Linked DNA regions of Alligator mississippiensis. The protein of the gene in region 1 purifies or fractionates together with the protein of each later gene. This does not show direct contact. Links are inferred from orthologs where the notes say so. Each region holds a gene or a part of one and is shown on either strand. Other genes may lie near its edges. The genes, in order: NMNAT2 and FBXO45.

What was found.
Region 2: the proteins of NMNAT2 (region 1) and FBXO45 purify together in Homo sapiens (co-immunoprecipitation; 3 studies listed by BioGRID and IntAct, with this or other methods). This does not show direct contact. The link is inferred for Alligator mississippiensis from reciprocal best matches to the Homo sapiens genes NMNAT2 and FBXO45.

Annotation. Positions count from the first base shown.
Region 1 is NC_081828.1:54,142,271-54,158,554, reverse strand, and holds the start of NMNAT2 (nicotinamide/nicotinic acid mononucleotide adenylyltransferase 2), read left to right. Parts: upstream 1-7,554; 5' UTR 7,555-7,625; coding exon 7,626-7,710; intron 7,711-16,284.
Region 2 is NC_081830.1:36,870,258-36,886,769, forward strand, and holds the start of FBXO45 (F-box/SPRY domain-containing protein 1), read right to left. Parts: upstream 8,387-16,512; 5' UTR 8,334-8,386; coding exon 8,100-8,333; intron 6,642-8,099; coding exon 6,285-6,641; intron 4,730-6,284; coding exon 4,649-4,729; intron 1,466-4,648; coding exon 1,280-1,465; 3' UTR 1-1,279. Other genes in the region: WDR53 (WD repeat-containing protein 53), read left to right, coding at 10,375-10,854, 13,007-13,594. UniProt on the Homo sapiens protein: Component of E3 ubiquitin ligase complex consisting of FBXO45, MYCBP2 and SKP1. Functions in substrate recognition but also plays an important role in assembly of the complex.

The DNA.
Region 1 (16,284 bases):
CTGTGGGAGTGCAGCAAAACATGTATTCTCATGAAACATGCATTTAGATTTTGCTTTATTGTTATGATAAGAGACTTGCTTTAACACTGTAAGATATATCAATAAAACATTGTCCAACTGATCACTGTCTCTGTCTTGCTCTCTGTCTTTATAGTGGTCTTTTGTTTTACTTGTGAAGGAACATGGATTTGGAGGTATTTTACAGAGTGACTTTGGGATTTTTCTTATCAGGGTTTTTTCAGTTTTCCAATAGGGAACACCAGAATTCCTGCTAGGGAGGCCAGTGGCAGGACCCTTCTTGCTCAGAGCTGGCACCTGGGACCCATCTGGCCAGGAGGACATGGTTTGACAGTTCAAAGCAGGCCACCACACCCGGAACATCTTCCGGGTGATAGCTGCTCAGATGGCCGGGCAGGGGGCACAAATGGCAGTAGTGCCGCACAAAGGCCAACCCTGCAACCGCAGTCCACTGGCAGCTGGCCCAGAGGGGCAGATGCCTCTGCTGGCTGTACAGTCCCCATCCGAGTCTGACAGGTGCACAGCAGGTCACAGCCAGGCAGCAACCCCCACTGCCAGACTGCTGCAGTGGGTAAAGGTGCAGGGAACTCTCAGGGCTGCTTCAGCAGTCCAGCTGGCACAAGGGGTAGTGTCCCTAGGTACCAACTGGCTGGGTCGCAGAAGCTCCTGAGAGCTAGTAGCCTTGAGCTACTGCCAGGGCAGCTTTTTATACTGCTGGGGCCAGGACAGGGCACCTTTTTATACTGCTGAGGACAGCACAGGTGCTGGCCCCGGGCTCTAGCTCCCCCTGGCGGAAGATCTGGGAGGAGCCAGGCAGGGTTATTTTGCACCAAGTGGCACAATTTGCTCCACAGCAAAGTGGATGTCCAAGCACATGCAGTGAAGCAAAAAGCCCCGGCTCAAATTTGCACCGCTTCTATTTGAGCTGCTACAAGCACACATGCTTGCATGTGTGGATGCGCCTTTAAAGGTTAAAACATTTGTGTGGATCCCATTGGAGAGCTGGAAAGTCTTCTTTACCAGTAATAGAGAACATTTCTAACAACTATCAGCAAGTGGCCATGGTGGTTTGCGAGATGACATCAGGACCCCTATGTGAGTAGTAAAGCTATTTTAGATCATTTAAAGAGGGTTTAACACTATATTCTCATTTCAATATCACCCTGAGGTGAATTAAAGTAGCAATTAATGTGCTCCATTTCAAAGGCGGGATTAAGTAAAAAATAGCACCAATAACATTTCAGAGCTCTATAAGAATTCCTAATGCAACTCTTCACTATCCCGTGGTGGAGACCAGGGATTCTCTGAACTTATTTATAGGGTGGGTTACTTCATAGCAAAGAGGCCATCTCACCATTATGACCCTTTCCAACCACCATGGTATAACATCCTCATGGCAATGTTTCATTTCTTTTTTTTAAATGTTCACAGAATATACCTACCATTTTCAACTGTCACAAGTGATATTTCTTTATCTCTTGTGATAGAATATGGCATGGAAAAGGTAACAGGGACAAAGAAATGGGTGTATTGCAAAAGAGTCTCTGCTTCCAAGCACAGTCCCCTAAATCAATATATTCCCACACCATTCTTCTTATTCTAATCCCTGCTTAGGTATCTCTAACTGGTTTGTCTGGTGGCAAAGTTCACAGACCAAGGCCTTGGCGAGGTTACTGGCTCAGCACCTCCTTCTGTCTGGAGTTATGTCCAAGCATGACATTTTGGGAAATTTGCTTGTGTAAAACATATGTTCTATTTTTTATGAAATTGTTTTATCCTTTAATACCTCACTGTATATTGAATCTATGCTTTGCCAACAATGTTTGTGCCACATACTGGGAAGGTGTGACTGGAACAATTATGACCTGACAAGCTGAATGGCCTACCATTCAAATGGAAACAACCTAGAACAATGACATTGCTGAGGTCAGGGGTGGCACAAGGCAGCAGCCTCCAGGTGTGGCATGTGGCAGACTGGGGAGAGGACAGGAAGTACAGTGACAGATAGGGCAGGAAAAGCAGATCAGGTAGGGAGCACAGGGCAGGAAACACAAAGCAGCACAGCAGATTGGGAAGGGGGTTGGAGTGACACTCAGGGAGGGTACAGGGATGATTTGTGGAATGCCTGACAAAAAGGTTGGTTCCCACTGCTGTAGGTAAGGCGAAACCAGTTCTTATCAGACAGTCTGAAGGTACTGGGGGGTAGAGGAATAGAAAACTGTCAGCATAAAAGAAGGACTCTATGACTGCTATTAAAAAGACAGGAGACTCCAAGAGCTGCTGTTAAAAAAGGGCATGCTTACTGAGTGGGGGAACATTTGAGCACCAGGCTAGAATAAGCAAAGGGAAGCTGTTTGCTACAATAAGATGATAGTTAATAACCAGAAAGAAAGGATAAAGTCGGGTCTGGGACTAGGAGTGGGTATCCAGGACCCACAAAGACACTGACCAAAACCCAAAGAATATTCAAAATTGGAGAAGCCTGTGGGGCAGGGGAGAAATTGCATGAAGGTGTTTGTCCTTTCTCTTGTGCTTGTCTATGAGTAATGTGTGACGGGTTTAGAAATTCCCTTGCAAAGTCTGTCTGTTACTTCCTTCAACTCACTGTCAAGTATTCCTATAAGTGGAAGTACTTGTGATGGTTCAGCTCTGAGGAGGTTGCGTTGGAGCAACTAGGCTGTCCTGGGGATTGGGCGGTACAGCCCTGATCCCTAGAAGTGGCATTAGTCAAAAGGTTTGTGCCTTGGAAGCATGCCTAAGGCTACTGTCAGTCAGAGACAGCGTAAGGAATCTGATCAGATACAGGGAGATCAGGAGTGTACAGAACCAGCACTGGGGTCCAAACATAGCTATCACAAGGGGCGTCAGTAAAGTCTGGGACTGTTAATGTCACTAATTGGTAAATCTAGTTTGCTCATTTGTAGCAAAGGTCCTGGGCTCCCTGAAGCTATACTTTGTTTTTAATATACAAAAGAAAATGGATCATACAAGTTTACAGGCCTAGCAAAAACAACCTTAAGGATTGGCCAAGGGAATTTCTATGGATACTACTAACATCAGAACATTATTCGTATTAACAGGAAAAGTAAATTGTCAACTTCAATCCAAGAAGAAGAAATTAAGGGAAAATATTAAAGTGAGACTGTCAAATTAAAAAGAGGTAGATGGCAGGATCTTAGTGCACAACACTGTGGGGGACTCTGAGCTGCTTCAAGGAAGTGTTCCCTATGTTTAGAGCAGCTTCCTGAGTTGCCTAAATTACATCAGGGCCTATTTTGGACTCTGGATTAGCCCAAAATCCACAGGAGACATAAAGGTGGCCTAAAGCCCCACTAGTTCCCTAGCTCCATGGCCTCCAGCATTCATGCAATCCCTTTCTGAAGCATGGCCCCAAAAAATTTCACCTCATATTTTCTAATGAAAATTTCCTATTTATGTTATTGATGTGTCCTTGATTTATTATTAACTTTGAGAAAAGCCCCAAAGTATAATGTACCTTTTCCTGTTAACAGTTGTTTCCTTATTTTTTTTTGTCTTTCTATTATCTTGGATGATGAAAATAAAATAATCCACTGACTTCATTTTGAAGTTCTCATATCTTTGCACAATATTGAAATGATGAATATGTATTTACTTTGAACTACTGTTTACAGTGGGACTGGAAAAATAAAAACCCTAGAGCCACTACTTGGGTAGACTTGTGTGTTTGGAAAACTTTTTAAAAACTAAGGCCAATCTGATCTGTTACTGGTCTTTTAAAAAAATCAGATGTGGCTTGGATGTTTTATGCATGACTGAGGCACATTGGGCGCATGTACATGTGCAATTAGTGCACCTGAATAAACTCCAGCACAGTGTGCGCTACAGTTATCTGCTCCTGGGTGAAGTGTCTTCACATGTGCCCAGAACCACAGCACACTGAGCTGGGGAGAAGAAGCCCTGGGCAGGCAGAAGGTCCGGGGGGTCAGACCCAGGCTCTGGGTGGTGGTGTGGGGTGGTGGGGGGGCTGGCTGGGGCACAAAGGTGCTACAGTGTGTGGCTAGCTGGCAGGCAGCCATCTACACATGTGTTGCAGTGGCATAAATTACTCCATTATAGGATAGTACTTGTTCCAGGTAGCACTATCCTACGGTGGATTTAATTAATTTACTGTGCTCTAATATGGGCACACGTGTAGATGGTAACACGTCACTGTGGAGCTAATTAGTCAACTCCACAGTAAAGTGCATCTGTAGATGCACCTATTGTATTCTAATTTACTTTAAAAAAGGGCAGGCTTCTATATCATTTCTTTACTCTTTGTAATAAATATGGTGAAATTTACTCCTTTTCCTTCCCTCCTCCCTCCACATGTAGTGAGACAACACAAGACTTATGCTCTGCTTAAGCCCCCCTTAAGCCCTGTTCTGACAACTGTGTAGATTTTAGGGCCAGAAGGGATCATTATTACAATCCCAATCTGGCCTCCTGCATAATACAGGCCATGAATTTTATCTGGTGATTTCTGCATCAAGGCTATCTCTTGTGACTGATGCTGGCTGCTTATCACTGCCTTACTGTCTGATGTTTAGGTGGTTTGGGGTGTTCGGCTTTAAAGTATAGCAAAATAAATTTTAACTTTCAGGATTTCAAATGTTTTTATGTCTTCAAAAACAATGTTCCCTCAAGGATTTTTTTTCTCTGAAATGACTGATAGATGTTTACAACCTTAACACACAATTTTTTCTGCCTGGGAGTATTTTCTGGAGCTTTTCCAATGTAGATTTCAGTGTCTTCTTTTAAAAGAGCCCTGGGTAGTGCATATAAACTGCTTCCTGTTTTCAGTGCTCTATTTGTAGAGTGTTTTTTTATTGTTTGTTTAATTCTGACGGATTAGATATATGGGTAGACTTCATGGTCCCTGTCAGATTTTCCAAGCCTGCAAGGTCTATTCAGAAGGGACTTGTGAGTTATCAAATACTAAGAGGTTTTGAACAATGTTGCCAAGAGAGAAAAGAAGTGCCATTAATACCCAGTCCCCATAGCAGATTATACAGAGCTTCTGTGACACACCACAATTTTTCTGAAATTCTATGTAGCTGAACAAGACCAAAAAAAGCAGGAGGAGAGGGACAAGGAAAGAAAAATGTTTCAATATTTTCTAACTTTTCCACAAGGGTGAACTAGTCAGAGAGATCCATGACGGTTTGTGTACAGCTGGTCTAAAGAAACTTTATGGGTGTGTTTTACTGTGTTCCACCAGTGTTACTGTGAGAGGCCTGTCTCTGGCCATGTGTAAACACAGTGCTGACTGCAATATAGCACAGATTTTAGCTAGAGCCTTTAAGCATCCCTGCAGTATAAATAACAAGCATTCCCGCAGTATAAATAACAATAATAATACTATTTTTCTACACAGATGGGCTGCAGGAACCATCTTATTAATGGTTTCCAATTAGATTGTTATCATAACTCTGAGCTGATCTGTGGCCTTTTCATAATACAAAACTTTTCAAGATATAGGCTCTGGCAACAAGGGGGAGGTGGGGCAAGAAACCGTCTGGATTAGCCAGCATTGAGTCATATCGATTAAGCACGAGAGTCATAAAGATAAATGCATAAACTGGGGCCATTTGACCTCTGTTGTTAGCAGAAATGAAAGACACAAGAAGAGAGGAAAGGAAAGAGAAAAGGTGGGTATAGCACTGTAGAGCTGGCAAGGACAGAGAGCCTGCAGTATAACAATAAATGTTTGGAACTGCCAAATCTTAGAGAAAAAGACAAAGAGATGGCACTTCTGTTACAGGAAGGGGGAGAAAGGGAGCGCTGCAAGTAGGAGTATTCTCTCTCTCCTGGGAAAGCAACTGGATACAGCAGACAGAACCCTTGGTGCTAGAAAGTATTCAAGAGGCATTTGGGGTGATGGGAGCACTATTCAGTGTTTGACAACAGTCTTCTGCAGCTGTACCCTGATGTGAATCCAATCTAGTGGGTGCATATCCTGGTTACCAGTAATACCTTCCAAGTGTGTTGTGCGAACCAGTCCTAGTAGTACTTGCCTGGTCTGTAGGTTTCCAGTTTCCATGCACTATTCCTAAACGTTGTGTTGGGAAAGGGGATCCAGTTTTCAGTAAGCCCTCCCACATAGCGAGACAGAGCAGAAAATCCTACTTCCAACAGCCTTTTCTAGGGAGAGAGAGGCAGTTTGGGATAAAAATTGCCATGAGACACATAAAAGGTGCACGTTTTTCCAGTACTACAGACCAGGAGGCATCAGGGTCCAAATTCTTCCAGTGGAGTGGCTGTGCTCATCCTTGTTTTCAGTTGGAGCTAGGGATCCAACATTGTCAAGATTTAGCTGCCAGATCTCATCCAGGTCCTAGTTACAGGTGCTTATGGCACTCCTGCTAGCATTCCTCCAGCTTTACTCCAAATGCAATGGGACTGACTACATTTGCTCTATTCAGTATTGCCCAAGAACAAAAAAAACCCTGCCTAGATCTTGCAGGAATAATACACTGGATCCCAGTAGAGTGGGGCCTATTCTCCCAGCATGGATAAGAGTCTGGATTATTACAGACAGTAGAAATGGCTGAGGGAGGAGTGGGGAAGTGATCTGGATTCAGACATTCCTAGCTGGAGACTTGAGGGCAAAATCTGGCTAGATCTAGAAGGAGCCTGGTGTCACCTCTGGGGTGTGTGTGTGTGTGTGTGTGTGTGTGTGTGTGTCCAGCAGGCCCTTGCTTGTGTATGTGTATCCATGTCTACAACAGCTCCTCTCTCAGCTTCAATTGTGTGTGTGTCCAACAGCCCCTCACTTGTGTATGTGTATGCATGTATATAACAGTTCCTCTCTGACCTGTGGCCTGTGTAATTGTGTGTCTGTGCATGTGTGTGTCAAGCAGCCCTTTCCTTGTTTAGGTATATCCATGTGTCTACAACAGCTCTTCTTTGGGCTGTGATTGTTTGTGTATGTTCAGCAGCCCCTTGTCTGTGCACATGTAACCATGTCTACAACAGTTCCTCTCTGGGCTGAGTGTGTGTGTGTGTGTGTGTGTGTGTGTGTCCCCAACAGCCCCTCACTTGTGTATATGTATGTCTATTACACCTCCTCTCTGGGCTGTGACTGTGTGTGTGATTGTGTGTGTGAATGTGTCTGGCAGTCCCTTGTGTACCTGTATCCATGTCTCTACCAGCTCCTCTCTGGGTCATTACTTGTGTGTCTGGTTGTGTGCCTGTGTGTCTGGCATCCCCTCACTTATGTACTTGTAATCCATGTCTACAACAGCTCCTGTCTGGGCTGTGACTGTGTGTGTGTGTGTGTGTGTGTGTGTGTGTGTGTATCCACATCTCCTACATCTCAGCTCCTCTCTGGGGGGCGGTATATGCATGTATGTATGTACGTGTGTGTATGTGTACATGTATGTATGTACTGTGTGCGTATGAGTGTGTGCGCCTCCCCGGCAGCCCCGTCTCCGGCGCTGAAAGCGTTAAGGGCGGAGGAGTGACGCCGCCTGCGCTTGCCTCCGCTCCCGGAGCCCCCAGCACGGGCTGCGCCTCGCCCGCCACCAGCCCCTGCAGACGCCCGAGACGCAGCGAGGGAGGCGAGCGGCGGCCGCACGGGAGCCATGACCGAGACCACCAAGACCCACGTCATCCTGCTGGCCTGCGGCAGCTTCAACCCCATCACGAAGGGCCACATCCAGATGTTCGGTGAGTGCGGCCGGCGCCGGCTCTGCGGCCGCCCGGCGCTGGCGCCGCTCCAGCGCGCTAGGGCGGAGGCTGCTGCTGCTGCCCGTGGCGGCGCCGCCTGGGGCCGGGCCGGGCCGGGCCGGGCGAGGGGACCCGCTGCAGCGCGCCCGGACGGCAGCCGCGAGCGGGGCCGTGTCGCTGTCCGCCGCCGCCGGGTGCTGAACCCCCGCCTCAGCGCCCCGCAGCTCCCACGCTGCCCCGGGCGGGGCGGTCTGGCCTGGCGGGGCCCCTGGGGCGCCGTCCTGGAGCGAGCCCTGGAGAGACGGAGCGCGGAGGCCCGCGGCCGGGGGGTTCTCGGGGCGGGCTGCAGGCGGGAGCCGCTCTGTTCGCCCAGACTGGGTGGGGGGGCGGGGAGGGAGCAGATTCGTGCTGTGGCTGGGAAGCCTCCTGTTTTCATTTCTCCTGGCGTATTCCCGGCCCCTGGACCTAGGTGTACACACACACACACACACACACACACACACACACACACACACACACAGAGCAAGGCCTCTCTCTCTCTGTCTCACACACACAAAGTCACAGGCACACGCACATCATGATTCTTTGTGTGTGTGTGTGTATATATGTATCAAGGCCACACACGTCCTGATACATATGCACACACAGAGTCAAGGCCTCACACACAAACAAATCATGATACACACACACACACAGATTCAAGGTGTGTTATCTGGTTAGGAGTGCACATCATGCCACTTATTCCCTATGAAGGTCTCTCCCAGTGTCTCTGCAGCACTTCCATTTCCTATCTGTCTGGCAAGTGAAGAAACAGGCTCTAGGATGTAAATCCAAGGGCTCTTTTAAACAGAGAATAAAGCACCAGGCACAGAACCCACTAAAACTCAAGATGCCTGTCTGACATCCAAAAGGAAATAGAAACACTCATTGCTGAAAATAAATGTGAGATGATGGATGCACCCCTATAGGTTTCAGTAACAATGCATGGCTGGAATGTTGAAATCTCTGGTTAGAGAGAGACTAAGCAGAGGGAAGGGGTGTGGCACCCGACATCAAAATCATTACCTGCTTGGTTATTGATAGTTCACATGAACAGAAGCTGGCAGGCTTAGGGGACCCTATATCAACTGAAAACTCACTTACAAATACAGGAGGAGCAGCATATTAGACATCTATCCATTATATGCAGAAAAAAAAACCATGCCATATGATGGGGGTTTTCAATCTGGGGCACTCATGCCAGTCTTGTTGTGGTATTGGTAAAATATCCTTGGAGTTTCTGAAAGCTATGAATACATTTCTCAGTACAAAAAAATATCGGTACTAATGCATGTTTAATTATGTATTGGACTGTATCCTGACCGATAACGATGAAGTGATGACTAAACTAAAAATTGACAGTTAGGTGCAAACAATCACAGTCTAAATTCATTCACTGTGCGCCAACAGAATCTGGTCCTGAGCAATAACAGATGTGCTCACACAGTGCTTTAATAAGGCCTAGTCCCAAAAGGTAAAATAGTTATGAACAAAACTGAGCAGCAAAAAATATTTAAACATCAAATGTTTTTTTTAAACAAATCTGTGAAGGTAACAGTGTTGACTGAACAGACTTCTCTAATATGTTTTCTCAAGTCCTGCATGACATGCTGATAAAAGAGAACCAAACAATCAGTGCAGCCCATATTCAGTGGATTAAAATTTGATTTTGATTTCTTTTCGAGATATCAGTTAAATACGGAATTATCTTCTAGTGAGGGTGTCCCTAGTGCATTCCCATAGAAATCTGGTTTTGGCCTAAATTCTATTCAATATCTTTACCAATGACCTGGAAGAAACTATAGAAATCAATGCTGGTAGAATTTGCAGAGAACAAAAAATGGTGGAGTAGTAACTGATGAAGGGAATAGGTCAGTTATGCGGGCTGAGCTGAATTGCTAGTCAAGGTTGGCTCACTTGAAAAGCCTAATGCAGAGTCATACATCTAGAAACCAAGAATGCAGACTGTTTATAAAAGATGGGGGACATATATATTGTAAAGCAGTGATTCTGAAAAGAGGTGATAATAATCATCTGAACATGAGATCCCAGTGTGATGCAACTAAAAGCACATATATGATACTTGGCTGCACAAGCAAGGAAATATCAAGCAACAATAGCAGGCATGACTTTTGTATACTGCATTAGCAAGACTCTTGTTGGAATATTGTGCCAATTACTAGTGTCCACATTTGAAAGAAGAACGAATTGGAGAGGACTGATAAAACAGCTGCAGGAAAGAGAGGGATGCTGAAAAACATCCTTTATAGTGAGATAAACTACATAGGCAGGTGTTTTTAGTAAGTTAAAAGAAGGTAACAGGTGACCTGATCATGGTTTGCAAGTATCTATCCATACAGGGTACAACTGTGGTGGGCGAGGGCTCCTTAGCTGGGTACAAAAAGCTATGACATCCAAAGCTTGAAGCTGAAGCCAGGCAAATTCAGACCAGAAATGAGAGGCTAGTTAACCTTTAGAATAACTTAATGTTGTGGTGAATTCTTCATCACTTGAAGTCTGTGTGTCGAGACTTGGATATTCTGCTCTAAGATATGCAATATTTCAAAAAAGAAGTTATGGGCCTGCAATAGAAATAAGAGGCTGACTTTCTTTGGCTTGTGTTATGCAGGAAGTCTGGCTACACATGTATAAAAGGTTCCTTCTGTCCTTGAACTCATGGCATATATCATAAATTAGGACCCTGTTCTACAGCTTGTACTTGCACTGTCAGCCCACACTTATTCCAGAAGGAAGCCTGGCTTCAGAAAGGACTGAAAAATGAGATAGCCAGTAAGGATCACTTTTGTGATTAAGGCTTAAGGGGTTTGAGTTCTTGCTCTCCTTAGTCATGTAAACCAGTAGGATTAGTCATATGAGTCAAGCAAACAGGATTTGGTCTTTAGTTTATAGGGCTCCTTTGGCTTCATCTTAAACAAAGACCAGCATAGTACTGCTTTGTGGAAATGTTTTTCAGACATCTAACTAAAGATGCAGTCAAGAGATGCAAAACACTGTCTTCAACTCTCAGATAAATAAATAAGCTTTATAAACCTTACAGGAAACATTTTTTTCTTCAGTATCAGAGGAAGTATTTCTTTTTAAAAATGCACTACAAATTAAGCAAAAGACAAGATGCGAAAATAAAGGCTTGTAGTTAAATTTTTGCTCATGAAGTTGGATTCTGTTGACTTTTCCTCAAGTTAAATTCCAGCTAGTCTCTGTAGATGGTGTAACTACATAGAAACTGGAAGATTGGATCCAGGGTCTTTATCTGATTGGTGCACTATTTCTACTAGGTCCTTTCTCACCAATTACATCAATTGGAGGTAAAGAGTCACTGATAGGCACCTCCTTTCAGGCAGTTGTGATTGTGTTATAACCATAGGCCCTGATCCTGCAATTTATAACACCTTGGCAAACCCTATCAACCACATGACACCCCAGTGACTTGAATAAGGCTGTACTTTGTCAAATGAAGGAATGGAGCCTTAAGAACAGTTAAGTGTGGTTTTATTTACATATGTACATACAATACTCAATACTGCTAGATACCTAATGACATTAATAGTTCTGATAAACATCATAATAGCTCTGAAAAAACTTAGGCTTTGTTTAAAAAAGAGGAGGGAGTGGAAGGTTGGAGTGTTTTACTATATAAATTCTAATGTGAACAAAATGGTTTGTTTTTTTTTACTCTAAGGGAAAACAGCTTTGTTTGATTAGTATTCCAGATGTGTGTTAATAAAGACAAAGAAGAACTATGCAAACTCATAACATTATGGAATTAAGTGAAAGATTCAGAACAAAATCCTCAGTCAAAAAACAACTGAAAGGATCTCAAACATTAGCCATTAAGGACCATAAATGCTTACCTTAGTCAAGACAGTAGTGCCATTCAACCCCAAATCATTTTTATTTCAAGTTAATACTCAGAGAAATGTAGTGTGGTATATGCTTAGTTTCCATCAGTGGCATGCAACGCTGGAAAAAATGGTAAACCTCTCAGAGAGTTATACAATTCTGTAGGCATGAAGGATGGAGCCATTGTTTTGAGAAGACCTCATCATCAGGCTTACCCCCTGTGGTACAAAGAGCAGCTCTCTAATAAGGCATTAAGGGGATTTGGTGGCTGAAGGGTATCTCTCTACATCACAGATGCATCACAGTTGACTTCCTTTTTTTGTAAAAAAGGAAAGCAATGCCATAAAGGACAAAATGTATAACCAATGTCAAAGCAAAAAATAATCTGTGGAGCCCCACTGACAAAACAATGCCAACACTGGCAAATATCCAGCTGACAAGTATGTGTTTGCTTTTTAATTAAATCATTCCCCTCTAGCACAGTTAACCCCAACACAGCAGCATCCTGCTAATGCATGGGCACCAGGAAGCAAAACTGATGAGGAACCAAAGTCCAGCTGCCAGCCTGGCTTAATTCTCGGAGAGAATTTACACCACTCTGTAATGGTGATGAAAAAAGTATGTTCAAATTTTATAGTGATCTAGGCTGTAACACTGGAAAAACTGTTTATGTATAACTAAAATTGCATGGTGTTCTCCCAATCTTTCATTACAATAAAGTGTGGCAGCAAGGAGGCAGAATTGCAAGAAAAATATTTTTATTGAGCATGCCTAAAAGACAGCATTACCTCTAGAGTTAAATGGGAAATAAATAGTCCTGTGGGATGAAAATTTGAGGTTATTGAAATCTGTCCCATCCCAAATCAGGATGAAACCCTCCCCCTCCTCCCCCCCCCCACACTTTTTTACTACCTGGAAGTCAAATCTACTTTTAAATGGGTAGGGGAAATCTAGGGTAAACATTTTAAAAATGCCTAAGTGGCTGAAGCTCCTAAGAGACTTAGATGTCTTTGAAATTTTTATCACTAAAATCTTTTCCTCTCACAATAACAGAGGTTTAGCAAATAAGATCATAAAATACAACCAATATGGAAGAGACTAGAAAATTTGTATGCGTATGGATGTCACAGATCTAATTATTAGTAGATATTAAAGGTTCACTAGCAAGAAAAAAAACCCACAGAGCCAGAGAGGACCACTCTATCCCAATGGGGAAATCTGTAGGACACTGTATAGGAAAGAAAGAGGAAAACTGCACCTGATTCCTCTTGTGGCATTCCCAACAACATGTCCCTTCTGGATTTGCTGCATGAACAGACCTTGAAGACAATGAAGAAATCTTGAAAAGTTTTGCAAACTGAAAATGGTTTGGGTTCAGGTCAAAACCTTTTTTTGGTAATCCAGCTTAAATTTCAAATGACAAATTTATTTGAACTGAAAAAAAACAAACGCAGTTGTGCTCCATTTTGACTTTGTTTTAAAGAGAAATTCTTCATAGCCTGCTCTTTATTATGCCTCAATTTAATTTAAATTAAATGGTCTTTTTGATTAAAAAAAAGTGTTGCTGTTTTCTTAACCAGTTTAGTCATATATAAGAGACCTGTGCTTGTCTAGTTGCAGCCTTGCTTTAGCTTGTATCAAAGAGCCTCTGGCAATCTACAAAAGTAGGTCTTCCCTGGGCCATTTCCATTCCTCCTCTCCCCTGCATCTCACTCCTCAGACTACAGCCAGAAAGGTAGAAGGATCCGTCATCTTCACAGTACTCCCCCTTCCTGAATTCCCCAGGTCATATCCATAAGGCTGGGGGAATTAAGGGTAAAGTACAAACTGTGCACCTCCAGATGTACAGGGAATGTCCACAAAAGTTACTGTAGGTTTATTTTGAGCATCTTGCCCTGCCCCTTGGCTGTGTAAGATGTCTTTGTGATGAGTACTAGAGGTAGCTGCTAGTTATAAAAACACCTGGGCATCCAAAAAAACCATAAATCCAAGGGAGAGGAGCAGTCTAGAAACTGGACGAGTTAGAGAGAAGCACAGATTTCTTCATAGGCTTCAATATCTGTTTATGCAGCAAATCCAGAAGGGTCATGTTATGGGGAACGCCACAAGAGGAACCAGGAGCAGTTTGCCTCTTTCCTTCCTATACACTGTCCCACAGATTTCCCCGTTGGGATAGAGTGGTCCTCTCTGGCTCTGTGATTTTTTTTCTTGCTAGTGAACCTTTAATATTTACTAATAATTACATCTGTAACATCCATATGCATACAAGCTTTCTAGTCTGTTCCATGTTGGTTTTATTTTATGGTCCTATTTGCTAAACCTGTTATTGTGAGAGGAAAAGATTTTAGTAATAAAAATTTCACAGATACCCAAGTCTCTTAGGAGCTTCAGCCACTTAGGTGCTTTTAAATTTATCCTAGGTTTCTCCTACCCCATTTAAAAGTAGATGTTACTTCCAGACAGAAAAATAAATAAATAAATCAGTGGGATTGTAGCATCAGATGTGATTTGGTGACCGGAATAATTCCTTCCAGTTCATATTCATAATGACAATGAATCACAGCTATGCTGTGATTTTTGTCTAATTGGAAGCAATTTTTTGCCACATCTATTCATACATACATCTACTAATGAGGAGAACTTGTTATTGTATCCCAACCAACAGATTGGTAGAAAAACACATTTCAAACTGAAAGAAATAAAAAAGGGTTCAGATGCCCAAAGTAAAAACTCCCTGTATTACATCTTAAAGCAAACGCCAGCAATTAAAAATCCCAGAAGGCTGCTCTTTGATTATTCAAAGCAGCCCATCTGAAGGAGAGCCACTGAAGTCTGTTAAATTATGTAAATAGGCTTCCAAGATAAAGGGACCAATTATTGTAAGCCAGAGAGAGGGAACAGGAAGGAACTAGAAAGGGTTGTGGATTTTTTTGTTATTTTAATCTCCTCAGTTTTCAAAATAGGATTTCCAAAAATGACTGGACATAAAAAAAAAATGACTGGACTGCAAATACGATCTTAATCAAATGATCTCTTATCAAAATACAGTTGGTAAATTCTATGCACTGAATGATGTGCTCACATTTCCGCTTTCTTAAATTCACTTAAATGTGACTGCATTTGCAAATGACCAGAAGAATTCCCATGAAGCACAAGCCAGTCCAGATCCTAAGAGGAAATGACAATGTCCCTTATAAAGGGGAGGTTCAGTCTTGACCTTAGATGTAGTAATCATTAAATCCTTGTTCATGTGAGCCTGAATTATGCTAGACAAGTTTCTAATGCCATTTAGAACATTTGTTTTTCTGTCAGTCTAGAATAGACAAAAATATGGGGAGAATATACATCTAAGTTTTTTCTTTCTACATTGGATAAAACTAGGGTGAACCCAGGATTGCATTGTCACTCTCATTTCACTGAAAGTTTCAATCCTTCCTGGGTGGAAAACAACTTCTTTTTAATGTTTCTTTAAACAAGAATGGGATAAAGTTTCTGCAAGCTCTTTGGGACAGGGAAAATCCCTCCTTACCTGCATTTCAAGTTGCTAGGAACATCCATTGTACAGTAACTGTTTGAATAGTACGCATTCTTCCTATAACTTTGATAAACTGCATGGCTATTTAAAACAGAAGTCTGTTTCTTATCTCACTCACACTGGTGTCACTCTCTTGACATCAGGGTTGAAATCAGCTTCATGTGTACCAGTGTTCATGGGAGCAAAGATGGACCAATAAGAACCAACTTCCCTTTATTCAGTAATATAAAATTGAGAGGGCATAATTCACCTACATATAGTAAAACTCATGGGAAGGGACACAGGGAGAAGCCTTGGCAATGATTCCTTTGTGGAGATTTTCCTTACAGCACTCCACAAAGTAAGGAATCCCCCTATCATAGAGCAGATCAAGCGAGCCTTGCTCCAAGTCCACCAGTTTCTTGGGATGTGTATAATTCCCAGGGATCAGTGGCCAGTGCATCTCCATTAATGCTTCAGGCCTTTGTAGCAGCTCTGGTCCACAGTGGTTCCTCCCAAACACTGGGGAGATGTTTCCGTTGTGAACACTCTAACAGGCCCCCCCCCCCAGCCACAAATATTGTCCCTTCAAGCAGTGCCACTATTGCAGAGGGAAACACAACTGAGGCCCAGATGATATTAACCTTTTCTAATAAACACTTTGTTGGGGAGAGAATTATATTCACTGCTGTCTTTGGTCTTGATCTTACTCCCTGGCCTGACCTCAGCCACATGGAGCATGTTTTGCTGCTTGGAGAAAAAAGATGGATAGTGCTCTGCAGATAACTGAGACCTCTATCTTCTATGCAGAGTGGGGGTTAGCCATGCTCAAAGCATCTTCATTAAATATGAATCTAAGAGGAATAAACTCCTTAGGAGACAAAATGGTCTAGCCTGGGGTTAGGAGGCCTGGGATCAGGAGGCTTGGGTTCTATTCCCAGTTCTACCACTGACTGGCTCTGGATGATCTTGGGCATGTCACTTTCCTTCTTTGTGCCTCTGTTTCTCTTTCACCCAGGGACTGTCTTTGTCTTATCTAAATTATAAGCTGTTTGTGGAAATCCTAGCACTCCAGGGCCTTGACCATAACTGGAATCTGCAGGTGTTATCATGCTACAAATAAATAAAAATAATAAATTCTCCCCCCCATGGACTCTCAC
Region 2 (16,512 bases), on another chromosome or scaffold:
TGGCTTCACAGCCTTCTCAGCTTCCACAAAGGATGGTGTAATGCTGACAAGTTAGTTCCACTGCCAGAGAAAGGTGAGACTTTAGTCTTGACTGCAGATAAGGAGAACCCAGACTTCAATATTTAGAGTTGTTTTCTTTTCAAACCAAATTAAATAAAGTAAAATAAAGAATTAAGCTCTTAAATAACCACCTTAAATAGAAAATAAAAATCTAGCCCCAAGAAGTTCAACATTATTTTTCAGACTACTCTGAAAGCCTCATTTTATGTCCAGTAGGAAATGTAAGACCTCTTAAAGATAATTTTTTATATGTCAAGAGAAATAGTACAACAAACAGGTTTGCCATCCCTTTTTCATAGGAATCAGTATTTGTGGCAAAACAAAATTCATGGGGAGTTTTCTTTTTTAATAGATAGAATAAAGACTGCTGAAGCCATGTAAACTTTTAGCCACATACAAATGAACTAACGTAGCACCTTACTCCACAAGAGCATTCCTAGATGCTTTACAACACAAAAAAAAAAAATAAAAAAAAAATATATATATACACATACACACACACACACACACTTTTGTGTGTAGGTCTTCCACCTGTCAGAAGTTCTTCTGATGTCATGTAGTGGTTTTTCCTTTAATGATATCCCAGTTAGAACAAAGCAAACCCTTTGTTTTGTTTTTAGCAGGTTTTTTTTTTTTTTTTTTTTTACATGTTCTGTATATACAACCTTTAAAATACACTTAAAAATAGCTGCACACATTTTATATCTCATTATATACTAAAGAAGTAGTCCAGACAGACCATGCTTCTCAGCACGTTAAAAATTTCAACTAAAACCCAACCAGTTTAATTCTCCTCTGGTACCCACGCTGGCCCAAAGGAGGGAAGGAAGGAACAAACGAGCAGTTTTAAAATGGGAGTCTTTCACAAAACACGCTACTTACAAATCTCAGGTTAATTTCCTCAACCACTTCTATCAAATTCTTCCTTAAGTATTTGAGATCACACACTACCATCTCAGCAATGAAACCTGTTGCAACATGAATGTGTCAACTGCCCACTCAACCAACTGTAACCCTGAGGATTTTTCTGGCCTGGTAGAAAGAGGAAATGTAACAATCCCTGCAGTATGGCTGGTCCTCCGCAGCAATCCACTATTTTCCTAGATGTTCCTTGGATATGCATCCATGCGTTAATTCAAATTTGAGTTTCCCTCTAACCAACATGCAAATTCCTCCTCCAGATCATCCACATCCAGATGTCCCAAAGAGCCAATCAATGTCATCCATCTAGAGGCTTTCCTAAGTAGACCAAAGTCACCTCTGTATTGCCATACACAGCTGACACTGCTGGATACAAGCAAACCTTTGGCAATCCTCTGAATGCAACTCCCAGGAACTCATAGCCGCGCTCAAAGGCTAATGTCTTGTCTTCCATGTCTAAGATGACTCGAATCCTCTCACCTATCTGCAGAGAAAGAGAGAGAGAGAGAGAGAAAGAAAGGAGATAAGAAAAAAAATCAGATAACAGTCAAAGAGAAACAAAGGATAAATAAACTAAAAATAGCACATGGAGAGCAGAACAATAGATCTTATAAGAAAAAACCTCATTTAGAATTCTGTGCGTCTTTTTGGTACAAATGCTCAAAAAAGATCAATTGAATGGTGTTAAAAAAGAGCCTCCGAGATGGTTAAGGGAATGGAGACCTTCTCTTATGGAAGAAGATTAAAGGAGCTTCGTTTGCTTAGCCTAACAAAAGGGATACTGAGAGGAAACGTGATCAGCCTTTACAAGTGCATTCCCAAGGAAGTGAATATTAGGAAAGGAGAAGAGCATTTTCAGCTGTAAAGCATCACCAGCACAAGACCACAACAGCGATGGAGAATTTAAGACAGTTGGAAATCTTCTAATTTCCTCTCAGAGAAGTGGTATTTTTGGAATGGTCTTCCAAGCAAAGCAATGAGGTGAAACACTTTTAGAGTGAACTGGATAAGTGTATAGAAGGGATGGGATGGTAAAACGGAGTTTTGGCTTAACAATTGGCGTAAGATGCATGGAATCATTTAGTTTCACTTTCCACAATGGACTATAGATGTAACTCTCCTTCAGTGTAATCAGTGTCTGGTAATCACATATTTCAGAGCTTTCACTGACTGCCAGTAAGGAGAAGCAAGCAATCTCCCCCCTCCCCCCCCAAATCCTATTGACTTGTGGAAGGAGGTAGAGTGAGTTTCACCTTCCTCTGAAATACTGGAACATTGGCCACAGCCAAGACTGTGGGTTTTTGACAGGAAAGCAGTGATGCTCCTGTCAATGCTTAAAAAAACAACCCAAAAAACAAAACAAAACAAAAAAAAAAATCAAAAAAAAATCAGAAGTTCCTGGTTAGAAGTTCTTGCTCTTCTGCTCAGTCATACTGACTGCCAAATATGAAGTCATTTTTTCCTTATGTCAGATTGACACAAGTTGTAGGGGTCCTTGCTTTCCTCCATAGCATGGGAAATGGTCTTTTTATTGGGAACTTTTGAACATTCACTAAATTATTCCCTGCAGTTGTAGCCTCATTACAGCATCAAGGCATTGACAATGCCAACACCTCTCCCCTGCTTTTTTCTATGCCTCTATGGCAGGAGAGGGCAAAATCCAGCCCATGGGCCAGATCCAGCCTACAATGGACTCTATTTCCCAGCAGCCCCTGTGGCACCAGCTCCTTCTGGCTGCTGCTGCCAGACCCAGCCCTGATGCCTGGGCACCCTGGCCTGTCTGCCCCACACCCACCACCAGGACTGGGACCCAAGCAGGCAGGGCGCACACCTGGGAAGCTGGGATGAAGCCATGGCTGGGAGTGAGACAAGTGAGTGGGGCTGGGGAGATCACAGGATCTTGGGGCACTGACAGTACAGGGATGGGGCTAGGGCACAGCTATGATCCACTGCCTGCACATTCCTGCACCAAGTATGGGTTCACAGACAGGGGCATGCAAGGAGTGGATCACGGCTCTGCCCTGGCCCCTTGCTGCCACCGCTGGCCCTGGAGCAGCTCCCTACCCAACTGCGTACCTGGGGCTGAGGCAAAGCCCCAGTTCTGCAAGCAGGGGTGTGCAGGAAGCACACTGCAGCTCTGCCCAGGGCCACTCACTGTCACGGCCCTGCAATCCTGGGTCTCCATGGAGACCAAACGGGAGCCATGCAGGCAGGGGCTGCCAAGAAATGGCAGTCCAGCCACGGCCAGATCCTCCATTTTGCCCACCCCTGCTCTACAGTATGTGATAGAGTGCTCTTGGTGTCCTGGGTACTCTGCCTTGTACATGTCTGTGAGGGTTTGAGGTAGAAATTCTGGGACTTCTTTCAGTAAATGAGTCTCTGTAGGCACAGAGGACTAGACTCAATGGCCAGCAAGCCCCTTCCAGGTCTATGTTTCTATTCTTCCAGAGAAAAATGAATGCATATCTTGAAATCCATCAATTTCACTGATGCGCAAGAGATTCTGATTAGCTACACTCAATAGCTGTTTCAAGCAGACAGAGTACATACAACCCCCACAATGCTATAAATACCAAATGTTACCTTTACATGGATATGTCAGTAACCCTAAGAATTAACATCCATCTATTCATTCTGTAGTATATGGCAACTTTGTAATTGCCTCCAACCTGCATTTCTCTTGACAGCATATGCCTGTTAAGAACTTGTGGTTAAAAGTCTTTGTAGATTTTAAAGCCAAAAGAACAACTTGAGAAAGTAGGGGGCATATGCAAGATGCATTGAACAATTTTTTGGATATGCCTGTCCTTCAAGTACCACAACTGATCTTTTATTTACCAACACATCAGGATTGCAAATATTTTGGACAAAAACAAATGGGAAAAACTGAAAGAAAAAAGGTTATACAAAAGCAAAGGATACTCGATGCACCTGGAAAAAAACCCACAGATCATCATATAAACATGATGCTGCATGCCAACTTATTTACCCACAGTGCAATTTTGAAATGTAATTAGGTAACAGCCCCCAACAGCAAGCAGTAACAATACTGTCTAGGATGTTGTGGAAAAGTCAAACTATCCTCCGTGTAATCTCCTTTAAGCTCTTCTTCTATGTAAAACAACACTAAAGAATATACACCTTTTTCACTTTTTTTAGAAATAGAAAAATGTTATGTGCCTTATTTTACAGAAATATATTTCTAAGAACAGCAACTTGAAATTCAATCAAAATAAAAATAAACCAGTTGTTACATACTCTACAGCCTTGAGTCCAAGAAAACTTCTGCAGTTTTATAAAATATTGCTTTCCCTATAAAGGCCCAAACACAAAGAATCTGAACACAAGTGATAAATGGGGAAAGAGACTATACACAGCTGTGTCAAATGCATGAACTGAAATGAAAAATCTTCAATCTTTTCTATTCACAGGCGTTTTAGGTTTCTACTGTTAAAAACAGGAGGCACAAATCTCAGAGGGAAATGTAATTTAGACTTCAGTGCCCCTATTCAAGATCATCTTCACTACACTAATCAAAAAAGCCAATTTCTACTTAAAGTGGGGTTTGGGGACATTATACAGAAAATTATTAAAAATCTTCACCCACCACTGATATGCTACCACCTCTAGACTAAAAACAATAAATAAAATCACATAAAAACATTACCTGACAGAATGAGACAAGGAGTATACTGCACATAATTGATACTGCAGCATGAGGCAATCTAGTAGGTAGAATATAGTTATCCTAAAAATAAAGCTGGGTCAGATCAAAGCTAAATATGGAAAAAGTATCACATATGCTAATTACCACAAGTTATCTAAACTTCAATTTTGTTTTATCTGAAAGATATCACCTCTAAAGAGTACTAATTACTGAGTAAACACCATTTAGCATTACACTGGATTCTCCTGGTGTGTGTTGGGGTGGGGGGGGCGGCCACGCGGGGGTCTACCCAAGTACCAACCAGAAACACTTCACACCAGGAAGCATTTCCAGAAGATGTAATACTTATTTGATATAGCAATGGGTAAACTAGAATATTCTAGTCACCTCTCATTAAAAAAAATAAAATAAAATAAAACAGAAACAAGATAACTGCCTTTAAATAAGATGCATACACATAGGATGATTTAAGATTTCGGATAAAAATTGTGGTCTTTTATTTTCCTTGAAGGAGATCATTTAGGTTTCAGAATTGTCTGAAATTCTTATACATAGGAAAGAAATCTAAAAACAGGGCAAAGCAGAAAATGGGTAACAAGGCAAAATTATTACCCTCATGAGGTAAGTAGGTAACTGGTGTAAGCTGCCTAGTAAGACCACTTCAGGAGACAGCTAGACATTTTCATAAAAAAGGAAAAGCGACGCACCGAAAACTAGAGGTGCACTAATACATTGGTCCCATATCAGATTGGCACTGATATAAGGAAAAAAAAGTGACAGTAAAGGCAACTGGCTTTTTTTGGCTGATGTGCTCAAAAACATGGCCAATAAATGCCCTGTGCAGGCGCAGCACACAGGTGGCAAGGAGTGCAGCTGGGTTTGGCTGGTAAGTCTGTTGTGAGTGAAGGGGGAGAGAGCATTGAGGGGGACGGGGAAGATAGAGGCCCCAGCAGTGAGGAATGGAGAGGATTGGGTCGGGGCAGGTGCCGCCCAGCTAGGGTGAGGTGTGGGATGGAGCCATGAGCGGCTCGTCATGGGGGCACAAGGTGGCTCCCGCTGCTGCACACACCCCAGAAGGGCACAGGGGGTGAGTGTGGGCTGTGTCAGGCTCTTCCCAGTGAGGGGGAGATTGAGCCGGGCTGCCCAACCTAGCCCGCTGCTGGGAAAAGCCCAGTGTCACCCCAGCCCCAGGCTCCCCTCACCCCATGTGCAGATCCAAGGGCATACCTCCCCCATGCCCTCCTGGAGTACGTACAGTGGCGGAAGCCACCTTCCCCCCACCCCGTCCCCACACATCCCAGACAAGCCGCTCCCGGCTCCATCCTGCACCCCACCCCGGCAGTGCAGTGCCTGCCCTTGCCCCAGCCCCTTTTTTTCTTCCTCACCACAGGGGCCCAACTGCCCCCCCCCCCCAATGCCCCTTCCCCCACAACAGACTTACCAGCTGGACGCTGCTCTCCATGCTGCCTGGCTGAATGTTGGAATCAGTCAATATGGCTCGCTAAAAATCAGTCATCAGTATTGGCTCAAAAATCTCTATCCGTGCACCCCTACTGAAAACAGTGCTCAGGCTTATTCTTGATGGACAGCTGCCCACAAATGCAGCAGTTTCTGACTGGTTCCAAGTCTCACTCACCTGGTACTTTGGTGCATTATTGCACTGTGGGAAGCTGCCATTTACCTCTCCATTATGTAGCAAGTTATTGTCCACCAGGTTCCAACCCCAGCTCTGGTCGTCACTGCCCAGCAGCGCCACGTAACCCTGACATTGCATGGGAGCCCGTTTTGTGGCAATTCCAATTACAGCTACCGTGCCAAGAGGGCCTTCCCACCAAACCTCCCATGCATGACGACCCTCACTGAAGCCAATCTTGGTCCTTGCCCCATCGGTGCTCTGAGCAATGGGGTTCCGGTGCAAAGTAAACCCATTCTTCTTGATGTAGACGTTCCTGGAGCAGTCATTGGTGCTGAAAGCATGATGAAAGGCACGTACCTAAGACAAGAGAGAGAGAGAGAGAGAGAAGAGAATTTTTGGACTGGAGAGAACAAACCATGAATGCAATTGTTTCATTAACATCCTGCAGCACATTTGTACTCAGTTTCAAGCAATAGTTTTTTAAAAAGCATGGTTGCATGTGATGACACAAGAAAGTAGAGAAGATGGGTTTGCTACCCAAAGCCTCTAGATACAAAACAAGCCAGAGAACCAGAGTGCACCTGGACTTCTGAGATCAGGAGCAGCTGAGCTGAGGGACAGAGAAGGCAGGCTAGAGATGCAAATTACAGATCAAGGCTAGGAACAGACGTTGCATTTGTCCCTGGACAAGTCGTACCTGTGTTTCTCCCAAAACAGAAATATCTAAGCACTGTATGTACATGCATCACCCTTTTAATAAAGGTTTAGGGAACAGCCAAATGTACCACTGTTCTTCTGCCATTGATTCCACAATGCAACTCCCAGGACAATTGTTCAGACACACTTGGCAATATCCTGGGATAAACTATTACTACTTCTCATCCCGTGAACCTTTTTAAGGATTTGTCATGGACAGACATCTGAACACTGGACTTTGTCCCAGGATAAAACAGGTTATCCTGGGATACATGCGACATCTGTCTGCAGCCTAACCAAATCAGAGAGGTGTACACTCCTGTGAGCCAATGCTCACATCATCTGCAAGCACCAGATGGGCGATGAGGACGAAGGGACACATTACATGGCAACCCCATTGAGGGCTGGGAAAACACCAGAGTCTACATGTCACAACTTGCCAGCTATTGCTAGGTCCCCTCCAAAAGTCTTGAAGTGACACCACTTAAGGCAAAGGCTAACTCTGGGCCATGCTCCCCAGCTCCAGTTAAGGTCGGCTCTACAGATACAAAGCAAGCAGGCTACTGGCCTCCAGCATCCCAGGATGCACTGCTCCCAGCACCCCCCCACTCACAGCAGGGATAGAGCCCAGGGGCCAGGCACCTGGGCATGCTCCTGCTCACCTGTCCCATAGCAGCCAGTCAGAGCTGTGCCAGCATGGAGCTGGGTGCGGGGGCTCACCTGGCCCTCATCTGCTACCAATAAGTGCCCTCCAAGCATCTCGAAGCAGCGCCACTTGAGGCAAAGGCCTCGCAGTTCCTGTTAGGGCCCCTTCAGTCTGCCCCAGAGACAGGAGCAGGCTGCCACCCCCAGCATCCCAGGGTGCACTGCTCCCAGCACCCCCACAAACCCAGAGCAGGGCTGGTGCCGGTGAAAGCCAGGGTGCCTGGGCTCACCTTGCCCCTGCCGGCTATTGCAGGTGCCCCACCAGCGTCTCCAAGTGACTCCACTTGCGGCGAGGGCCACCCCTGGGCGCGCTGCCCGGCCGGCCCCGCTGGGGGCCGCTGCAGCCTGCTCCAGGGAGCCGGGCGGGGGCTGCCCCGCTGCCACCCCGAGGCGGGAGCGCCGGGCGCCGCTCACCTTGCCCTTGTAGGTGGGCACGTTGCAGAGCACGTCGGTGCGCAGCGCCTCCTCGGCCAGGCAGCGCGCGGCCAGGCTGCGCCACACCTCGCTGTTCTCGTCGCCGTGCAGGACGCGGTGCCACAGCTTGCAGACCAGCGCGCAGCTGCGCAGCTCCCGCAGCTCCAGGTAGGAGAACACTAGCTCCAGCACCCGCCCCGGCAGCCGCCAGCCCGCGCCGCCCGCCGCCGCCATGGCCGGCGCCGGCCCCTCCCCCACCTCCGGGCGGCGCCAGCAGCCCCCGCCCGCTCCGCCCGGCGGCAAAGTGCGGGCGGAAGCGAGCCCCACGCCAGCCACGGAGAAGCTGCCTCTCACTGCCAGCACGACTCCGAGAGCGGCGGGCCAGCCATGCCGTGACGCCTCCCCCTGCCCCCGGCCCCAGGCCCCGCTGTCATTGCTTGGGCGGGAGGAGAGAGGCGAGGATGCGGGCCGCCATTTTACTTGAGGGCACAGCTGTCAGAGGAAGCCGGGCGCGCATGCGCAGCAGGGAACGCGCGGGTGGTAATGCAAGGGAGAAAAAAAGCCCTCCCTTCCCGGGTTACGTCATCAAACTGCGCCGGAAGAGACGCGAGGATGCCGAGTTGTTGGTGTGGTTGGAGGTAATTCCTCCCCTTTGTTGTCCGGCGCGGGGGACCCAAGATCTCTGCGAAGGAGGGGAAAAGCTAAGGCCCCGCTTTGGTCTGCGCGGTTGTGCCCGTGCCGTGGCCGCGCGGGCGGGGGGTCCTTACGGACAGAGGCGAAGGGAATACAGCTTCGAGTTCGTGTTTCCCGCGCGGCTCCTGCCCCCCTGCGGCCTTGGCCGGTCGGAGGTGCGGGAGGCGCTGGGGCGGGGCCGCCCAACGGGCTTCGACGCTCGTTCCCACCCGTTGTGCAGCCCCCGCGCGACGCCGCCGGCCCCGAGCTGGGAAGAATCGAAGCACCGCTCCTGGGGCTATGGGCAGCGACCCCCGCCCTGCCCACGGGCAGGTGGCGCCTCCTGTCCTGCCCAAGCACTCCCGGGCCGACGGGAGTGGGGAGGAGCTAGCTGCCAACCCACCCCATGGGCGCTGCAGCCTCAGTCATGCAGCCGCCTGCTTCTTGGCAGAACGTCTCGCCCTTGAAGCAAAGGAGAGAGCGGAGGAAGGGAAAGGAGAGGAATCCCAGCCCGCTCTCCCCTGTGGAAAGACCGGTGATGTCTGTGGGATGGGTCTTGAGTCCAGTCCTGAAGCCGCTGATGAGCCGCAATAGCGGTTGTTCTCACATCTGGGAATTGCGGACAACATTGTTAGTTGCTAAGCCACCTGATTTAGCTTTCCCTGGTAGGGGGCTTCTCTGCAGAACCAGGTGAAGCTGATGGTGTGGATCAGGGGTAGGCAACCTCTGGCACATGTGCCACATGGCATATGAAGCCATTTTATTTGGCACGCATGCCCCAGGGCAAGGATTGCACTGCCACAATAAGGATCAGGCCCCTTGCAGCTCTCCCACCATTCACACAAGCACGCCAACATCTTACAAGTCAAGGTTGCAGGTATTTTTGCCACTCAGGCCAAAAATGTTGCCAGCCCCTCATGTAGATTGAGGATGATTTAAAAAAAAAAAAAAAAAGAAAAGAAAGGAAAAGAAACTTGATTACAATCAGTCTGCCTCCTGAATCACTCTTCTTGTTCCAAATAGCAAAGACTCTCACACTGCAGTGAGTCAAATACTGGTGATCTAGTGACTGTATAGTCAAAGGAATTCGTTAAGGCTTCAGGTTGTAGCTGTCACCTCCTCTGGCCTGGACTGACTGTTCAGGTCAGAGAGGAGCAACTGCTAGGACACCTCCACTGTTTTTTTCCACCAAGGCAGGGGAGAGCAACTGATGCCAGAGCCATCCTGCCACTGAATGTTTCTGAAGCCCCACGTCTGCAGATCTCATTAAATGGCTCTGTGGGCAGGAGCTGGCCCATGGGCTGTAGGTTGCCAACCCCTAATCTAGATAGCTGCACAAGGTGGTGTAGTTCAACAATTTGTATACAAGCACTTCTAACAATGTACCATTCCACTGTTCTAAGGAGTCAGTATTGTAAGCATACAGACTGGTGTGCTTGCACTCAAACTTGCACAAGTGCCCATTTTACCTTGGACTAGCAGCTCACATGCTCATGTTATTTCATCAGCAACCCAGTAGTCTTACATACTTTGATAAGCTTTCTACTGTAATAGGAAAAACTGCCTAACTCTGTCCTTCTTTCACAGAATCCCTTGAAGCATCATGGCAGTCAAGTGGACCGATGGACATTCCTCTTCTATACTGTGCTTGAATGTGAACAAAGAAGGGCTGATAGCTTCGGGAGCAGAGGCAGGCGAGCTTGCTATCTGGAATGAGGAAGGGATTCCATTGGGACAGATACAGCTTCAGAAAGCAGATGATATCACCTGTGTAACATTCTCTCCCACCTGCCCAAGTAGGCTATACACATCTCATGGGGAAACCATTAGCTTGCTGGATGTCAGGTGCCTTAAGGGGCCTATTGAATGCTTCCACGTAAATGAGGAAGAGATCAATTGCCTTTCTGTGAATGACACAGACAGTGTCCTGGCTGCAGCTGATGACTCTGGGGCAATCAAGATTATAGACTTGGAAAACAAGAAAGTCAGCCGGTCCCTCAGGAGACATTCAAATATCTGCTCCTCTGTTGCGTTTCGACCTCAGAGGCCTCAAAGTCTTGTGTCATGTGGACTAGACATGAAGGTGATTTGTATGGAAGTAGATGGATGATTGCTAGATTTTTAAATACTGGCTGAATGGTATGCAATTAGATATTCATTCTACCTCACTCCTTTCTCTTACTCTAGGGTGGTAAGAGTAATTTCTGGTTCTTTAGCAATCTTAATGTGGTTGTATCATGATGGAAGTTCCACTGATGTAAAGGATTGCCCTTTATGGTCAGGGCTTTCAGGATCAAACCCTTATTTTAGAGGTCTATTTTAAGGCTATCTGTGAACAAATAGTGCCCCTGAAATTAGCAATAGCTATCATGGAAAAGGGGACAACTATTTTGTTTGCATTTTGCTGAGTTTGGTAAGAAAATTAAATGACAGTTTAGAACAGCCATAGGGAAATGTATAGTTTGGGTGTCAATGCATTTTAGCTTATGGAAATGAACAGCATGCAACAACTAAGCCCCTCATGGACCACAGTTTGAGATTCCTAGTCCAGTGATTCTCAACTTGGGGTGTTACAGCAGCCTAAGGTGCCTTGAAATACTTTCAAGGGTGCTACAGGGTGCCACACAGGTGTTCAACCATGATTCACAAGATAGGACCCTGTAGTGTCAAAAACATTCTCATCTGTGGTTTCTCTGAGTTCTTCCTAATGGAAGAATTGCCCCAGTATTTTTCTGTAGTCAAAAAAACAAATAAAAATTAAGAGCTGGCATTTTACAAGGGGTGCCCCTAGTCTAGTTAGGGGTGCCACAAGCCAGGGTGGGGGTGCCTTGAATCTAAAAAGGTTGAGAACCATTTTTCTAGTCTAATGTAGAAGTTCTGTCTATTGGAGTTCATAGATATTGATGTGCTGTTTATTAATGACAAAATAATGGGTTTGATAAAGACAGTTCATCAGTGGTGCAGTGATGAGCCTGAGAGATTGAGTTTAATGCTTTCAGTTCTGCTAGACTGAGAATAGTAAATACCATATGCAGACATTAGAGCAGTAGCCAAAGCCAACTATTGCATTAGTTCTGTTGGATGGCTCATAGGGAATACTTATTGGTTGTGGAGGGAGTCAGAGCTCTCATGTGGAAGCATATTTGTTGTTATGGGGCTTTTTCTGGTGGTGCTGTGTTTAAAGAGAAAAAAAAGCAACACACTTAAAAAAAAAAAATGATCTCACACCACACTTGCCTGCGGGTATCATCCCTTACCATATTACCATAATATACAGTGTTTTGGTAGTGACTGTATGGAAACTTAAGAACACCTCATGCTTTCAGTAAACAGTGTGTGAAATATGAGTTGTTCGCTGTGTGATTGATCATGGAAACCATGTAGCTAAAGTCCTTGTGTGTGGTTTTGCAAGTTGTGCTTCAAGGGTCTAATGCCAGTTAAAAATAACTTGTTTTCTCTCTCTTACTCAGCTTGCCTAGTGAAGCTACATGCACCTATTGTCAGTTCCATTTAATTCTCATGCACTAGCGCAAAGCTACAAAGGATGTAAATGAAATGGGGATATTTGTTTTTTTCTTCAACACACTGAAATTAATATGAAAAAACTTGTATTACTGGATTTTGTAAAGTAGTGAGAGACTGAAATGCTCTTTTCCATTATTCCATTATTTCACATATTCAGTGTGCTGTACAAAAAATCAGCACCCCTGTGAAATAGGCATTATCCCCATGTCAGAGAGAAAAGCAAATGAAATAGGGTACCAAAAGCCAAGAAAGTAAGCACAAACTGAATTAAAATTTTAAAATGACTCTCAATCCTATTGTTGGTCACCATTAAAACTTTCTTTCAGTTGCACAGTTTATAAGCAAGATGTTCAGTGTGTCATGGCTGCTGCTCCCCAGATGATTACTAAAGCATGAGTGATTTCTTCATCACTTTCACACCCTAAAAAGCAAAATGTTTAGCTATCCTAAAGCAAGACTGTTTCATTAGATGCAGAAAATTCTGTTTACTAAGGATGTTTTAATTAGCAGCTGACCTTCACCAGCTGTTTTGGAAGAGATGCAGGATCTGTGCAATCTGAATGCAGTCTGACATGCAAGAGGAATTTAGTGTGTAATCTTACAGAAAAGATCTCCATACTTTCAGTTCTCTTCAGATGATTTAGTATTATCAATCAAATTGGGAGACAAGGTTGGGGCTACAGAAGTCATTCTTCTCATTTTATTTGAAGGTTATGCTGTGGAACCTGCAGAAAGCTCGCCCACTGTGGACCACAACCTTGCAGGATTGTGAAGCAGAGGAGGTGGAGCAGCAATCAGCTGGCCAGTTCTTTAACCCTCCACTAGCCCATTCTCTGTCTGTGGCTGCATGTGGCAATATCTTTGTTTGTGGTGCTGAAGATGGTAAAATAAGGATCTTCAGGGTAACAGGTGTCAAGTGTGAACAGGAGCTAGGGTTTAAAAGCCACAGTTTGGGAGTATCACAAGTTATTTTCCTGCCAGAAACCTATTGGCTGTTGAGTGGTGGAAATGATGGGAAGGTGTTGCTGTGGGATATCAACAGTGAAGTTGGGAAGCAACAGAAGAGTCCTGTGAAATCCATCCACAGGAGGAAGACCAGGGCACCTGCTTCGACCAGAAGAGCTGGGAAGCCCAATGCAGTGGTTACAAATGAGCATGCCAAAATCCTACCAAAACTGAGCATTGAACATGGAGAGAAGGTGAATTGGATTTCATGTGCAGACTTCAAAGGCTCCAAGAGAGTACTAGTTGCTGATCAGAGTAGTTCCATAACAGTGTATCCTCTCACTGAGCCATAGACATTAAAAGATTTTAAGGAATTTTTCACAAGCAGCTAATTCCTTGGGGTGATTTAAATTGGTGTAGCTGATTTTTCTAGACTGCCTTCTATTCCATTTACCCTTTAGAGAGGTCCCTGTTTATAGCTTAAACAACTAAAACTCCTGCATATTTAGAAGTGGCAGGGGATTAGCTGTGGCATCACTTGCCTGTATGCATAACATATGTGCATGGATTCTCTTGCAGTTATGGCCCATCTTCAATGTAAATCTTAAATAGACGTGTGGCTGCTTAAATGGTTTTTGGAATTGCACCCTCAGAACATGAAGGCGATACATAGCAGGTTCAGTCATGTTTCAGTCTGGAAATGCTGAAATAATGGGAAAGAAAGTCTTCAGTCTGACAAAAGTATTGGACTCCTCTATGTAAACTAAAACAATCCCAGAACAAATCAATTGGTGAGATAAGCTTTAATGAAGATGCAATTGGCTGAAGTCCACCCAGATCCCTACAGAATAGCCAATCTACTAGCTTTCTTTGCTTCATCTCTAGTTTTTTGCCAACATTTTTGAAACAGAAAAAGTAAAGGAAGTCTGACCTAAACTGAACATAATTTCATAAGTGGAAAGTATCTTCACTGAAGCAGCTGAAAGCATGGGCTGGAAACATTTATGAATTATGTTAAACTAAACGCAGTAAATAATAATTCAATGGGATTTTCATGATGGAGCAGACATAAGGAAGGGGAAGAATGTTGATTATTTACCTGGCCCAAGCTAAAAAAAAAAGTGTAAAGTCCCAGAAGAGATGTTAGCTATTAAATCTGTAAATAAAAGCCTTTTCTCTTCATTGCCCCTTGTGCTTCTGCTTTCAAAAGTGTCAAGAAGAGCATTGTATAACTTCAACTGCAAAATAAAAGTGTACAAAGGGCCAAATCTGACTATTTGCCTTACACAAATTGTCTTGTTGACTTCACAGGATACTGATATGAGATGAGCAAGCAAAATTTGGCCTTAAGGTGGATTTAGATATGCTTCTCAGATTTAAATGGGAAGAAATGGAATCCTGCAATTTTAATTAGATAATGCATATTCTGCTTCTCTGAAAGGGAAGTAGCCCAAGGAGACAAGAATTTATGTTCTCGGCATATCCTACTTTTTTGATGTTCCAGGAGGGCAGTATTGCACAGGTTAGAGACCTGTTCACCCAGTTACATTTAGTTATTTTCAGGTGCTTTGTACATATAGAAGTCTACAATGGGTAAATCTGCTGAAAAATTCCTCTATACAGAGGACAATCTTTTGTTTTAAACTCTTTAATAATGTAAATCTTAGCAGCTGTTTTTACATGGCAAGGGAGATGGAGTAACTATTTTAATAAGTAAAGAGCAAATCTGTGAACTGAAAGTTAGTTTCCAAGGAATCCAGTAGACATCTTTAGACACCAGTTAATGATAAAAACAACCTTTACATTTATACATACTCAAACCCTTTCGATGCTCTCCTGAAAATGTGGAACTCCTACAATTCTAATGCCACAATAAAGCAATGTTTACTGTCAATTATGACTTTGAGGTATTAAAGTACCATCGCTATTACTGTATGAATACACATGCTATTCTTATTTTTGTCCTTTTGTTTCTGCTCATGAGGATCACAATCTTAAGTCACTTCTGGAATTAGCGTTTTAGTCTCTTTAACAACTATGAAATGTATTGCTTGGTACTTAAAAAGTTGTTACAGTATATATAAGTTCCTCACACAAATTAAGGAGTTGGGGAGGGAAAGGCAAGGAGAAAGGTGAGCAGGAAAAGGGTAATGGGAGAAACAAGAAATGAATGAATGAAATGAATTATGAAAGGGAGACAGGAGAAATAAAAGAGCAAGAAGTGATGCACAGCTTTAAGACTAACAATTTATATTCATTCCATGAACCCTACCCCTCCCTATCCACCCCCCATTCCCTCCAGTTGTTAGGAGGAGCAGACATAAGACACAGCTTGTAGTTGAAGCTAGTGTGTCAGGGATGAAAATAAGAAAGAAAATTCTAAATTTTGAGTTTCATTGTTGCCTTTCGGGTGAGGCAATGCTAGTCTGGATGTTCCAGCAATATCTGTACAGCATCCAGACTATCATGGACAAACGTATTAACTACTTGAACTGACAACTGAGTTCTAGTTTCAAGAGCCTTTGGTCCTTGTGGTGTCCTATCTAGTTATCAGTTTTCTAGATGAGATAGCATCTGCATTTTTTAAATACAGGCACACAACAAGCAAACTGTATGAAACCTTTCAGCCTTCCCCAATACCAGACACCATCAGCTGTGTGAACATTTTCAAATGGGTACCTTTGTGCCTTCTCCCTTTCTATCCACTACACTTGGGAGGAAACCTTCATGAACATCCATTAAAACTCTCCTCATCCAGATCCATCCTTTACATGATGCCTATAAAAACATAATAGCTAAGCTGCTTGTGTACTGAGACATTAGCTATTATGCTGACCAGAACAAGTTAATACATCAAAAAGTAGCAGAATAGGGCCCAGATGCCTTTTCAGATCATCTATAAAGAAAAATAGTCTCATTATATTGAAAGAGCTGAACTAAAATTGTAATTCAATAAGCCAAATGTCCATGGACATGTGCCTGCATGTGTGTCTATGAACTATATTTAGATGTACAGTCTATAAAAAGTTTCAGTGCAAAACGATCAGCAGGAGTTGGATCCCTGATCCACGCTATCTTTGACAGCCCCAGAAGAGGATCAAGCACGATTCCAACCTGTTCAAATTTTATTTCTTCTATCCTTGTTCCCCATGAAGATGACTAAAGAGACCATCTCTCTGCACTCCCTGAACAAGACATTAAACAGGTCACAATGTGTTGTGTTGTTAGTATTATATTGAGGAATAAGGCAAGACTCCACTTTACTAGGATG